Lepisosteus oculatus: one gene and its partner. The protein of the gene in region 1 purifies or fractionates together with the protein of each later gene. This does not show direct contact. Links are inferred from orthologs where the notes say so. Each region holds a gene or a part of one and is shown on either strand. Other genes may lie near its edges.

Evidence for each region.
Region 2: the proteins of exoc2 (region 1) and exoc3 purify together in Homo sapiens (affinity purification with mass spectrometry; 6 studies listed by BioGRID and IntAct, counting the BioPlex papers as one, with this or other methods). This does not show direct contact. The link is inferred for Lepisosteus oculatus from reciprocal best matches to the Homo sapiens genes EXOC2 and EXOC3.

The regions. Positions count from the first base shown.
Region 1 is NC_090701.1:4,957,429-4,964,566, forward strand, and holds the start of exoc2 (exocyst complex component 2), read right to left. Parts: upstream 3,020-7,138; 5' UTR 2,946-3,019; intron 2,926-2,945; exon of another isoform or gene 2,845-2,925; intron 1-2,844. UniProt on the Homo sapiens protein: Component of the exocyst complex involved in the docking of exocytic vesicles with fusion sites on the plasma membrane.
Region 2 is NC_090701.1:3,227,428-3,234,770, reverse strand, and holds the start of exoc3 (exocyst complex component 3), read right to left. Parts: upstream 3,014-7,343; 5' UTR 2,468-3,013; intron 2,442-2,467; exon of another isoform or gene 818-2,441; intron 33-817; 5' UTR 24-32; coding exon 1-23. UniProt on the Homo sapiens protein: Component of the exocyst complex involved in the docking of exocytic vesicles with fusion sites on the plasma membrane.

The DNA of each region.
Region 1 (7,138 bases):
CTCTGCCCTTCTGTGATGAATGATATGGGCATTTACAGGAGGAATGGGGGAAATTAACAGTTGTACAGTAAAGTAGAGCTTCTGAGGTCTGGAGGCTACAAAACCATATGCTGTAAACCAAACACGACTGATTAATTAAGCCAGCCATGATTAAATAATTGCGTCTCCCATCTGAATAAGAAACATGCCAACATCATCAATCAAAAGCACAAATTCAGACACCCTGATCTTGCAGAAAAGTATTACAATATTAACAACAAACCTGGCTAGTGTGAAGTCTAAACGGAAAATGAGAGCACTCTATAATCCTATACTGATAAATTGCCTAAAGAGAGCCTTACTACAATCATAAATATTAGGATGCCTTGCCATGTGATTTGTTTATGGAGGATGGCTGGACCACCAAAGTCACCGCACTGCTTTGCCAACATGCAGCTGAACCCTTTCACATGTGGAAAAGACTGCAGCATTGCCAGTACCTTACTGTTCCCATGCACATATGGGTCCACTTGGATACATATCTTTAAATCTCCTTCTCTCTATTTTTCTCAGTCTATTAAAGCATTGGCGCTCCTGCACAAAACATTGAGAAAAACAAAAATGCAGAGGGTGCAGGATCACAATCCCTTTTCTTGCTGTATGATCAAAGCACAAAAAACAGCCATACAATGTAATAAGAATAGGCCAAATAGACTGGAAATGCTTTTGAACTGCACTGGGAAAACTTGTATATTTCTGGCTTCTGTTAATGCATGGTTGTTTTTGTTGTGGATGAGCTTCTGGCATCTCTCCTGTTTTTTTTTTCTTTTCATTCTTTGGAGATGAAACTTGATTTTCCTTTCAGCCACATGACCATCCTAAGCAATGCACTTAAACTGATGACTGATCACAGGAATCTAGCACTTTCTGCAGATGCAAATGCATTTTGGATTCAGCATAAATAATACACCTGATTTAGCAGGGCAATATGGATTGTTACACTTAAATGTGATGGTCAGTCCAAGGGACCTACAGTATGAGCATGACATCATTTAAGACAGCAGTACAGTTTGGTACAGTGCACTGACACACTAATGATTCCTTCTGTAGTGACAAAACAAGCCGGCATGCCTGACTGCCGCTGTGTCTAGAAGTGGGTATGAATGTCTCCAGATGTACCTATGAATGCTGTGCTAAGGCTGAACATTAATTTCCATCATGAGACAAAACACTTTACTACTCTATCACCTCTGCTAATCCCAGTTTCGATTTTTTAAGACAGCTAAGTGAAAGTGCAAGACTCCCCCTGGGCAGGTGGAAGGATAGCCACTGCAAATTAACACCTCCTAAAGGCAATGCAGGCAACTGCTAGCGTAGCTTGGCTGACTAAGGCAGGCAGACTGAGGCGATCCGCTCAAGGACAGTGTCCACGTCTGACTTTCACTGGACAGGGTCATACTGCCAGAGGCCTGTCAGTGCGCATTTCAGCACACTGCGTGCTCTAAACTGCAATAACTTCCTTGAGAAAAGGTAGGCACCCATACCTGTTCGAGTGTTCTAGCAATCACTGACAAATGCTCCGGCCTTTAAACACACGTGCATGATCGAGCGTTGGATCAGGCTTATCTGGCCCAGTGGAGGTTACTGCTTCTCAGTGACTGATCGTGCAGTAAATATACAGAAAGAATGCCAAGCTTTTCTGCCACCCTTTCTGAACAGTATGTCTGCTTTGTGTTATTTCACCACTGCTTATGAGCTATTTATTTTAAGAGGAATTATTAGAGGTACTGTCAAATTATACAAATATATAGACCTAACCTTTGTGATTCTACAGGCATGCCACATTTCAGCAGCTGGAATGCATTTTTTAAAACGCATTTACTGTACACTTTTTATTGCATAGTTTTCCTTGCTTATAGAGCCCACTTTATAGTATCACATCGAGTCAAGTATGATATCAGTAAAAGTTTTGAGCTGTACGCAGGACTGGTTTAATTATATTGCTTCACTGCTGCGTTTTTATCAAAATTAAAACACAAGAAAGCTTGCAAAAGAGAGGAGGTCATTTGGCCCACCTATGCCAATTGGAGAGTTAGGAGTACTTTACTAAATTAAACACAGGAATGTGAGTTTGCTCTTTAAATACTCCTCAAACTCCACACCTTAATAATTCTGCAAACATCTGTGCACACATGCATGCTTACACACATATAAAGAGCCTAACCATACGCAATAACATTCTGGATATAAACTTGGCACACTACTGTTCACAAGCTCCGTTTTCATTGAAACATACCGTACAATTGTGATTTTAACCCCCGATACATCATGCTTTGCTACACTTAAACAGAAAAAACAAAGTAACAAAGTAAACAAGTAGATATAGTACACGTTTAGATACTATATATTCTATTGCGTGTTCAGTTTCAAAACTGGTGTGGGTCCGAATCGACCGGTGTCATCATCCAACAGCTGTCAAAACGGGTGACTAATACAGTCAAATGCGCCAGGGAAGCCCACTCCAACAACAACTATCTTTACGCAGCGATAAAAACGCAAATGCATGTATCACAGTTTAAACAGGATTTCTTTTGTGGTGATCGCTAGCATGACACACCGCAAATGCTACATTTAATCTGGGCGGATATCTTTCTCTTCTCTCGGGATTACTGCAAACTATGGCGTGAGCTTGCAAATCGCATAATTTCATATGTCACTGCGAACTGGATAATTCAGAATTCACGTTCAATACACGTTAAAATGAGAAAGATGAAGAGTGACGGACTAAATAATGTACAAACACTAAGCGCTGAAACGCTTCCCGATCCCTTTCTGACCGAAAACTAGCAGGCAGATATACCACACCTGTAAAGTGAAGGACCGTTATGGACACACTTATTTAGACGACTGAAATTGAGACTCGAGATAAACAAAAACAAATAATAACACCTTAATAATAAACTTACAGTGCTCAGCCGCAGGAAGAGCGAAGTTGACCTCTATGTGACATCAACTTCCAGGTCACCAGTTCCTGTTTTGCTGATGTACATCACATCCGGACGCTGGGGGGAGGGGCTTGGTCTGAGGTGGCAGCAGGGTTGTGGAAGATGGGAGGCAGTCTGGAGATAGGCTTGGTTGCAGAAGCTTTTGCAGATTATAAAATGGGCTTGTGTGTTTTTCTCCCCTTATTTAGACTGTCCTCCCCGAAATTTAAATGCACAGGCTTAGTACCCGCTCGATCTGTAACTTCGTTAGTTTTGGTTGGGTGCGACAACCGGTATGTTCTGTGTTACAGCTGAAACGAATTGAACTTCAAGGCTATGGTTGAGCTGCATAGTGTGTCTGTCCGGTACGTTGTTCCTTTTGCGCTGTGGATATCTCATAATATCACCGGCACGCAACTGTCTTGGGAGAACAGGATAATTCAACTAAGAGTCAAATGTAAAAATTGTTAATTTTTGTTCTCTGTGATTTTAGCTGTAGTCTAGCTGTGTGCACTGTACATGTATGTGCTGTAGGGTCTGAGCTGTGTTATTGCTCCTCTGGCGCTGAAGACTAATCAGCAGGGGGTTGTGTCGTGATTGTCTCTTTGAGCACTATCTAGATGTGTACATGGGCACTGGTAGTAATGGGTAAAACTAATACACCAGCTCCACGTCTTACTATCTGCCTAACACCACAGATACTAGCATATTCTCTGACGTGATTAACCTGGATGATTAAGTATGACCTTAATTACTGCTGCGTGGAAAAGCAAGCCCTTGACCCACTGCTCACCTTTCTGAAGGACAGAAACCAAAGGTCTGGTAGTTCCTTAACCTCAGAGATGATGTGGAGTGAGCTCTGAGAGATGATTAGGACCAAAGGGACTCACAGTCATACGATGATCAAGTTGGCCATCTGATGCGTTTTCCTTTTAAAAAGGTTTATTAATTTTAAGGTGAATGTTATTCTGTACTGATTGCATTGCATGTACCGCAACGAGTCTGTGCAACTGGCCGTGTGTAGATTTACTGCTATAGAGGTTATCGTGAGAAGTGTCATCCCTCTTTCTCCTGCACCTGTGTAAAGATTGGCTTGAATGGAATAAAAACATCCTCTAATTTCCAGGTGTGGTGTTTGTACCCGTTTGTCCATTTTAATCTGCGTCACCAAAAGTCTCTCCAGGAGGCCAAAACCCGAGAGGATGGAAGATCTGTTCCCTGTTTTAGCAGGAGGTGTTTTCACTGACGCTGAGAACTAACGGATGACATCAGAGGGATTTCGCTTGTTTTTTTTAATTTATTTTTATCAGCTCGGCTTCCACCGGGGATTCATTTTGTAAAACCTTACATAAAGGTTAAAGTCCACTTTTGTTTTTTACAAAAACTTAAACGCAGTTTCAGATACAGTGTACTTATAGTTGATTTTAGCAAATGTTCTTATGAAAGTCAGAACTTTGATATCCCCCCGAACATTTAAAAAATGTTTTATAAAAGGTGCTACTGTATAAATTATTTCTGTTTTCCATTTTATTTGTTTTACTAAAAATATTGTGGTCCACTGTTGTGAAGTACTTGTAATTGTGCCATTTCAAACACAGGAGTGCCACTGAGCAAAAGTTTTGTAGTGTAAATATGCATTTATTCTGTAACCAACAGACTTGTTGAAGACAATCTTTTGCATGGTGATGTTTTGTCCATATTAGAGTGCACATCCAATCAGATCTATGATAATCTTCTAAATAAATTAGAAACTGATCATACACTGGTCCGCCAGAGACTAAGCACTAGCACTATAGCTTTCGTACAATAGATAGTGCAGTCTTGTTAACAATGCATGTTTTTTTTAATGTTCCAACTTGCTCGCATTTGGATCGTTACAGCATTTTCACTTGTTCTGGGAATGGCACAGCATCATTAAAAACCTAGCCAGAGACCACCCAAGAGCCTTGCCAAAGATATTTCTTTCACTTAATTGTGCAAATCGAGGGAGAGACATTTATTTGATAAGGAGAAAAAAAAATCTCCAGAGAACCTGTGTTTTCCAATTATGTGAGGTTAATCTTATAATTGATGGCTCAAAACCAGATAGCTAGCTTGGCGATCGCCCCATCACATTTATTGTTGCTTAGCACATGATTGTAGTTAATTACGAAATACTACAGGGGCTATTTGTTAACATAAACATATAACTTAGTCTAATTTCTCCAGAGAATTCAGTCTATTGCTTAGAGATCGCAATGTTTTTCAAGGGAGTTAGTGTAAGTTATCACGCATGCAGATCAATCGGCACACTAAATGATCGCACCATCAAAGTTCGGAAGCTCACAGCAGTATTTCCTGATGCCCATGTGTTGGTGATATTAGCATGCAGGGAAAGCACTCGATCACCACAAAGGGGTAGGTGGGGCCTGGTTGGCCATTTCACACACCATTGGGTTCCATTACCACTTCCCAGATCAGCCAGCTTCTGTTCAGTGGCTGCATGTGCTTGCATGCCGAGGTCTGTGCTGTGAGGCCCTGTTCAATCTTGTCCTACTGATGCTGCAGCCTTGTATATCTGACCGGCCTGCTGCTTACATGGACCCCACACCTTCAGTGTTGAGGAGCAGTGCAAGTAGAATTAAAACTCACCTTCCTTGAATACTTCAAAGATTCGTCACACTAAATCCTGCGGTTATCTGACCCGACACTGATGCCTTTCTGAAGATATTTTTGTCTTTGAGTGGAAATGAAGTGGTGCAGCTGACATTTTGGCGTATCTACCTTAGTGGATTTCCCCCATTGTGAATTAGCTCCCTATGATTCCAGTCTCTATTGTTCCACGATTGTCTTTTCTTTTTTTTTCCCATGGGCCTCTGGCCAGCATTAGGAAGTGGTCATTGTAAATATTGCGCCGGAATCCTGTTCGCCCTTTTGAAAGATCCAAAGCAAGCATGTGAACAGTGGGTGCCTTTTTCCTTCCTGGAGAGTTGGGCTTTAGCTTGAATCCAACCGGCCACTTTCAGCAGAATATCTGTCAAAGTCAGAGGTGATGCCGCTGAAGGTCGTGTGGTCATCCGTAAATTGCAGAAAGAGAGGTGACACAGGGAATTAAGGAAGGGTTTCTGGAAAAAAAACTCTTTCAAGTTACAGGTATTATGGAGTGTACAAAACGTTATAAAGTAATATAAATCGACAAATATTAAGAAGGAATAAGCAGAAGATTAAACCATTATCCCATTACTTGTACACAGCATCTGTGGTGTACTTAAAATAGAAAGTTAACCCTAGAGTGCCAGGAATAAAGACCGAACTGTTAATGGCCAATTTTAATCTCATACAGCTCGTTGGATGTCGAGCAGCTTATGGAGTTAAATAGAATGTATTAGAAGTGCAGGACATTAGAATAGTGTCCACCTTTAGAATACCGAGGAAGTGTAAGGGCTCATACAAATGGAAATGGATATTCTGCAAGCTAAATTGATTGTCGTTTTCCACCTTTTTATGCTACTTATCATGTGATAATATGTCTTAAAACAATTACAAATGAAAGGAGGTATTCAGCTCATCTAGCCCATTAGGTGCCAGCTGCTTACTAAACTAATGACCACTGACAGTTGCCCCGTGTAAATTTAGTGTTTCTTCATATTCCACAACATTTTTGCTAAGCACAGCTGTTTGAGTTTCAATGTCTGACAGGCCCTAATCAATTTGATCTTTTTGATTCCTTCTTCCACAAAGCAGAATATCGGGATTTGAAATCCTATGAGTTAATGTCAAGGATGTCCCATATGCTATTTGTCATATTTTACTGCCTGAATGTTTTATGACATAATTAAACAGAAAAGGGAAGTTATTTGCATTAGAATGGGTTTCACTATTGTTTTGTTTGTAGTGATCTTTGTGAATTCTTCATTGAAATAAATAGGACAGTTGTGTTCAAACAATTGAAAATAACTGGAATATTCCATTTGTTTTTTAAATGTAAGCCACATTACTGTAAGTATTTCTTATCTTTAAATAATCAGAAGATGTACAGTATTTAAGTTTAAGTTCAGTCGTACATTGCATTGGAGAAGTTTCATACAGTGAAAGCAATCATTTTCCTTTTAGAGTTTTTTCTTCCTCTGGATTGAAAAAGGAGCTTCTTTATTGTTGTTATTGGAGTGACCACTTTGGGTTTATTTCTCTCAGGT
Region 2 (7,343 bases), about 1.7 Mb from region 1:
GTCTCCCTGTCCGTCTCCTCCATTGCCGCCGCCTGCAAGCAGAGGAGTCGCTATGAGCGGCGGGGCCAGCCGCGGACCGGGCTCTGGGGCTGGGGCGCGGGGAGCCGAGCAGCGACACAGGAAGAACAGACGTTCCCACGCGAGGTACCTTCAATAATCGCCAGTGATACTGACAATCCCAACAACCACCTCCCTCCTCACACAGCTATAATGTGTGATGATAATGTTTCTTTATTAGCCCTATACAATTTCTTGCATTAGGAATTCGTCTTTTCGCATACCCCAGCTTTTCTCCATGGAGACACAGACACACAGACAGGGAGAGAAGCTGGGGGTCAGAGCGCTGGGTCTGCCATTGTACGGCGCCCCTGGAGCAGTTAGGGTGAAGGGCCTTGCTCAGGGTCCCAACGGAGTAGGATTCCTCTGCCAGCTGCAGGATTTGAACCAGCAACCTTCCAGCCACAGGCACAGATCCTGAGCCACAGAGCCACCCCTCCGCCCTCCTCTCAAAGCTGAGATAGGCCTGAGAGACAACAGATTTACAGACTTTACTAGCTCTCTAGCGACAGAGTCTATGGTCAGGAACTGTCCTAGCCCTTCTGAACTACTTGTTTGCTGATCCTCCCATTTTTGTATCAACGGCACCAATTTGACTACTTTACTCTATCAGAATCTAGATTCTTGTTCTAAATCAGAAAGGGCAGTGGTCCTAGTACAGACCCCTGTGGTACTCCACCAATTACTAGATCTTCTATCAAACAATTCTCAAATTAAACACACAAACATTTCCTCCAAATGTCCAAAACCTCTCATTTACCTTTTCTGTATCTATGCCGATTATCCCTTAGGAACTTAATTCCATATAGGCAATCCACTAGTTTATGTCAAATGATAGTTTCTTTAACCCTACATGCAACAGAAGTCAAACATATTTGTCTTACTCCAGTTTTCTCACTAATTCTACGGATGGACATGTTATTAGCAATTCTCCAGTCCCTGGTTCCTTCCCCTGTCTTCAGGGACGGCTGGGAGAGCTGCATCCATGGCTTCTGAAAAACATCTCTAGTTTCCACGAGTGCAATTAAAGAAGATTCTGTCAGGCCCTGGGGATTCAATCATCCTGAGAACTTAAACTCTCAGTTTTTGGAATATTTCTCAAACATTAGAGTTGTGTGGGCTCTGTGAAACAGCAAGTACAATGACGTGTCTGAATTCTAAAATAAACCTCTTCAGCCATTTAGGAATGTTAAATCACCTGATTAAAGACAAAAGAAAATCATTCGGTCATGCCGAGATAAAAAAAAAACAAACAAAAAAAGACAATTTTCCACTTTGTTACATCTGGTTTCTGATTTTCCTTCAAACCTTTCTAATTTGTACCACTTGGCACAATAAAAGGATTTCCATTTCGGACAAAATTCTAGGGTGCCTGAAAAAAGCAAAACCACAACGCACGCAACAGTTTGACATTTCCAGAAACAGAAGGTCAGAGAGTTCCAAAGCACTTCAGTGGTTGATTTGAGTGTCATGAAAGTTTTTCTCTCAGCTAGTGCCTGTTTCAATACATTTATTCCTGTCCACCTGACAGGTTAAGGGTATGGAGTCTGCAATACACTGATTTCTACACGTAATAAATGAGTGTATATTCAATTCTGTCTTCTTAGCAAGCAATGTGCACTTGGCAGCACACTGTTACACAAAATGAGAAATCATATTCTACACGTCTGCTTGGCAATGTATGTGCCTTCAATGTGATTGCCAGGGGTTTATGGTAACCTGTACTTGTCCACCTACTAATAAACACTACCGTGTCACAATAAACACTACCGTACGCACACAAACTGACACTTTGCAAACACACACCAACATTATCATTGCAAACATTACTTTGTGCACACAATCGCAAAGTACTTGACACGCACAACAATGCGTATAAATTGCGTGCACAAGAGATTCTTTGCCCTTAATATGGAAAGCATCTTGCACCCGTAACAATGTGAATTAACAGCGTTTTCAGCACTAATCCACCACGACATTAATCAACAAATCTGATATATTTCGATCCGGTAGATAAGCAATTACCTCTACCATGCCGAAGCAATTAATAAGAGTTGGCTGTAAATGTAAACAGTACATCTGAGGAGTTTAGCAAAGAAGCCCTCTCTTTGCAAAACGTCAAAGCACGGTGCTCAAGTACCGTATGCAAATCGGTTTCATCATTATTTCTTATTTAAGCTTGTATTATTACTGCTAGCATCTGCGCGTTTCGTCTGTTTATGCGAAGAACTGCGTGTTGTTGAGCGCTACGTGCTGCGATTGTCCCGCAAGACGCACAACCACAAAAGCCTTTCCCAAAACCAGGATCTGACAGCAAGTTTCCAGGCACGGCAAATGGAAAAATATCTACAGGCCCAGGTGACAGCCGGAACAATTTCGTTTCCTCCCGACGGTAAAAACAGGGACTCACCGCGCACCTACCTGTGAGTGATTTCCGAGGGAGTTGAAAACACACCGTTAAACAGACTGCATTAATAAATGCATCCCATATTCTAGATCACAAAATAAAAACTACCCTTCTCGGTCGCGGTTCGCTGTACGCCGCCCAACTCGCCACAACTGACTGCCACAACTTCCTATTCGGGTTGCCTTGCATTCTGGGAGTTGGAGTTTTCTCAAGTTCCTACAACAAAGACTGCAAAAATTCAAGATACAGTGCACGGACAGTATAGTCTATATAATATTCGAGCCAAGGCCAACCAAGTGACACATGTACTTGCCCTCTGCGATTTTTTTTATGGCTAACACGACATAGTTTTAAAACTTCAGTACGCTGAGAAACGAGCTCCAGCATAATATGTTCTACTACTGTACAAATGTAGTTTGATTTGCTACCATGGCTATCTGACAGCTAGCCTCTCACTTATGTCATTCGAAAATTCCCTAAAACCTGCTACCAAAAAGAAAATAAAACCTTAGAGCTGAGTACTTGGTGCCCATAAAAGAATGAAACTCTGTATTTGGGACAAATCAGTAACAGTCCACCTTTTAAAACAAAATCAACAATATTAGATTCTAAACCGCCAACAACATTGAACGGAATGCTGGGATGGGCTTACTGTTTCAATGACAAGGGTGACAGTACAATGCCCTTGCCAGACCTTCACCATCTGTGCAGGACAGTGGTGTTATCTCTCGTCTTCTGTAGGTAACAGTCTGTACCGAAACACCCGCCGTGCAGAAGCACACATCTGGTAAGGGACCCACAGTCCGATGAGACTGTTTCTCCTAAGCAGTTCAGCAGTTCAGCTCACAGACCTCAAGAACCACGTCTCTGTGCAAAGTGCATTCATCTTCAGCCCGAACTAGCTGCTTCTGTTTTTTATGAGCTTGTTCATGCTCCTACCGCCACTGAGGAATTCCTCTACCTTTTAATTTTAACATACTTTTAAAATGCAAAGGGCACTATCATTATTGCCATTATTCATGTGCACTCTTAAATGCAGTTTCATGTTTAAGTTAACGTTCATTACTAAAATGCTTAGAAATCCAGTATACTGTTTGTCTGAGTGGGGGGGGGCTGAGTTACTCCGTACTGGAGGAAGAAAAGGTTAACTACACCCTACAAAACACCGATACACCTGGAGAAGGTTCAATGGCTGAATCGTGGTGTTTCTTCCTTCATCATGGAGGTTTCTTGCTCTTTTGAAATCCATGGGCTGTTGTCCTTGGTGGTGTTTTCACTTGAAAGTGAGCAATGTCAGGGGTGAGGCTGGCAGGAGCTGTTTGCAGGATGTGAAATGTGGCCTTTGGCACAGCCCTTGCCCTGTCCTGAGCTGTCCTGCGTTAACTCCAGCTAACTCCAGCTGTTCGTTTACCATGCAGTAATCAGCACCACTCCACCGACTGCAGCGAATCCGGGAGGTGTCTTCCGTTCGGAAAGCTTCCCAGAAGGCGACGAGAGCACAGTTTTCAATTCCCGGAGTCGTGTGAAGGGACCTCCCCATCAGAGTTCACACCACATTTGTCACAAACCAGGCGCTGTTCCTACAGATGTGGGCTTCATCTCATTTGGGTTTCATTTCCAAACGAAAAGCCTCAGCAGGAAGTGGTGAAAAGATGGGAGAGAGTCTAATGCAGGAAACTACTGTACACTCCTTAAAGAGTCTCATGAGTGTCGGCAACTGCAACATTCACCTCCTTTTTAGATAAATATTGCTCCCTAGCATTGCTTGAAACATAAACCTTCAACAAGATTGTGAACATAATACACCTTAGGGTTCACAATCTTGTTGAAGGTTTATGGGGTTTAAAAGCTGTTACGCAGCTATTGTAGACTGTTTTATAAAATAATGTTTGCAAAATATTTACAGTAATGCAAACCCTTACACCTTAATTTTACAATGATTTACACATTATATGTATATGTTACACTGAAGATAAATATCAAACGTATAACTGTCTCTTAGAAATATTTGCATCAGGTTATGTAAATCAAAAGTAAAATATTTATATGGGTTATTCACAATATTTATAAATGACTTCACAAGAGAATTGGAGAGACAGTACAATATATCAATTGTTATTAGTCCATGATCCAGTGAGGACAATGATTAGGATTCATTATTTAATGTATTTGCTGTATTTTCCAATAAAACATGATAGTCTCTACTAAATAAAACATTCCAGGATCCAAAAGACAGTAAATCATTAAATTGTGGTACAGTGGGCTCTGAAATAAAATAGGCCATTGAAGGTATTGTCAGCTTGTCATGTATATGTTTATCTCTTTTCCTAAACCTGCCACTAATCATCTTAAAAGGGCTTATCCCAGTCACTGATCCATAGTACTGGGTACTGTTGTTTGTTTGTTTGTTTGTTTTTTTGACCTGGCATGCCAGTTGTAATCTGAGGGATTAAGTGTCATTCAACAAACCCAACTTGAACATAGAATGGCAAATGAAATTTCAAATCAGAGCCTGTCCATCTCTTCTCGTGAAGTCTGGCTAAGCATCACCAGCTTAAAAGAGAACCTGGTGAATTGTGGGTACAGTATTTTAGCTGCTGCGGCGAGGCTATCTAGAATACCCTCCAGAAACCTGAATAAATCAGGTTCACTTTTAAAAAGGTGCAGCAGGTCTGTAGCTGTTGCTTTAGAAATACAATAAATGCAAACAACTTAAATAATGTTTGTTAAAAATGATCTCTGCATAGAATATCTTCAGTGTGGAAATGTTCTGAGGCGTGAGATTCTCTGCCCTTGTCAGAGAGCTTCCTGACCATTTTAAATTATGTATTCTTTTAAGGAACTCATGTTCAAATCCAATTACGTACAGTACAGTACAGTACCATTTGCTTCTTGGCAAGCTTCTTTTGAGAACTAAAACTGAGTGATCTGATCGAAGCGAAGTCCTAACGCGTTGAGGATCTTTAGAATCAGTCGGATTCACATTTTCGTGCCAGACTTTGGGGTAATTCAACTTCATAATATTAAATAAAGATCAAGATTCTTTGTGCGGTGAGAGCAAGCAGTCTCTCTACGCATTTTATTCTTTGACATGTAACACATCACTCTCGGCTTGTGTCTGAAGGTGTTCCAGCTGAAATCTTCCCAGAAGTGGGACCGCCAGGCAGCCGGAGGGGCGAGGAGCATGTGGGATCAAAAGTAACCCCTTTTGAACGGAATGACACTTTGCCGGGGTAGGAGTAGTTTTATATGCAAACTACTGCTGTTCGCCATGCCGGAGTTTATCCTGGTCTCTGTAATGAGCAAACACGTACAGTAACTCCACCCTCTCCGCGCACCTTACCTCAGGATATTTACATGAGCTGGAAAGGACACCGAGTGAGAGGTACAGTACCTGGCACCAGACCCTTGCTCAATGAATGAAGAGATCTGCTTTTTAAATGGTATTTGTCACCCAAGACAAGTTAGGTGGCGTTTTCCGCTAAAACGCATTTGGTTTGTAATGACCCTATTTTAAACTGTTTATAGCACTTGGGAATAAGAAGCATTGATTGCTGTGTGATCTTCTGGTATGCTCTCTGAACAACACGAACCAGAGCGCCGACAGTATTAACTGCCTGTAACACAACGCGGTTCCTCTTTTGTAGGTCAGTTCGTGAGAGACCCAGTGAACACCTGACGAGTCGAGAACGGTGACAGACCGAACTTATTGCACTTCTGTGTTTTGCTTATGCATTTCGGTATAGGTACGATTAAAGGGATCTTACAATTATCACAGATAAAAGAAGAGAAAATGTATGTGTAAGTGTGGTTTTCCTTGGCATAAAAGACTGGAAACATTCTTTGAGGAAAAAAAAAGGCTTTCAGTGCATTCAGAAACCGTGCAGTCATTAAATCCTGTTTTTACAGTTGTGCATTAATCACTCCAGTTTTCTTAACAATTATGTCATCAAACGCGTTCACATTCCTAGATTTATTTTAACTGAAGCCCTGAACAATTAGAATATGAGGTCTGAGCATGGCAGCATGACTGACTAGTATTCTCCGAGGGCGTTCTTGTGTTGAAGCAGATTCCTCTCCACATCGTCGTGCTTCTGCTGCCTAGTCCAGACACTCAGAACCACACGCAACATGACATCGCACACACTTCGCCGTCCGCCAGGTCTAACAAAGGGCCAAACATCATCCGCGGGCAAACGCGACACTCCCACACTCCCACGGTCTCCATCCCCACGTTCTCGGCTTCACAGAGAACCGCGATTTAGTCTCCCAGCTGTCAACCTGTGAGCCCTGAATGCCCTCCAAGCATGCAGATAATCTTCATGCAGATTTGTGAGCTACAGTCATTCTTCTTCAAGGATGCTCTTGAGTTGTAGCTGTGCCACCTAAAAACTGATTACATAGGTGGGTCAGAACGACATGCAGTCTGGTGACTCTCTGCCTCCCAGTATGTGGCCTGTCCTGCGCAGTGCCAGTTACCTGTTTATTCCGCTGAAAGTTGTTGAAACAGACCATCTAAATTTTGGGGGCAGCGTCTGTCTTAGTCACTTTTAATCATGCCAGTAGAAACCAGACAGTTTTCTTTAACCAGGAGGAATCTACTCTAGATACCTCAACTACATGAATTAAAATCAAGTTCTTCAAGGAATACTAATAATAATACTGAAATGATCATCAAACCTCTCTGCCCAGTAAAGACAGATACATTATGTTAATTTCATTTAAAATGTAAATAACATAACGTATGTGCCCAATGAGTTGTTGATATGCTGTACAACTTAAAACTGTTGTGTTTCCATGGTGTATCAGAAGGTGCACAAACAGAGTACAAACCTTGGGGTACAAATAGTAGTGAATATCATGAGGATCTACTGTCATT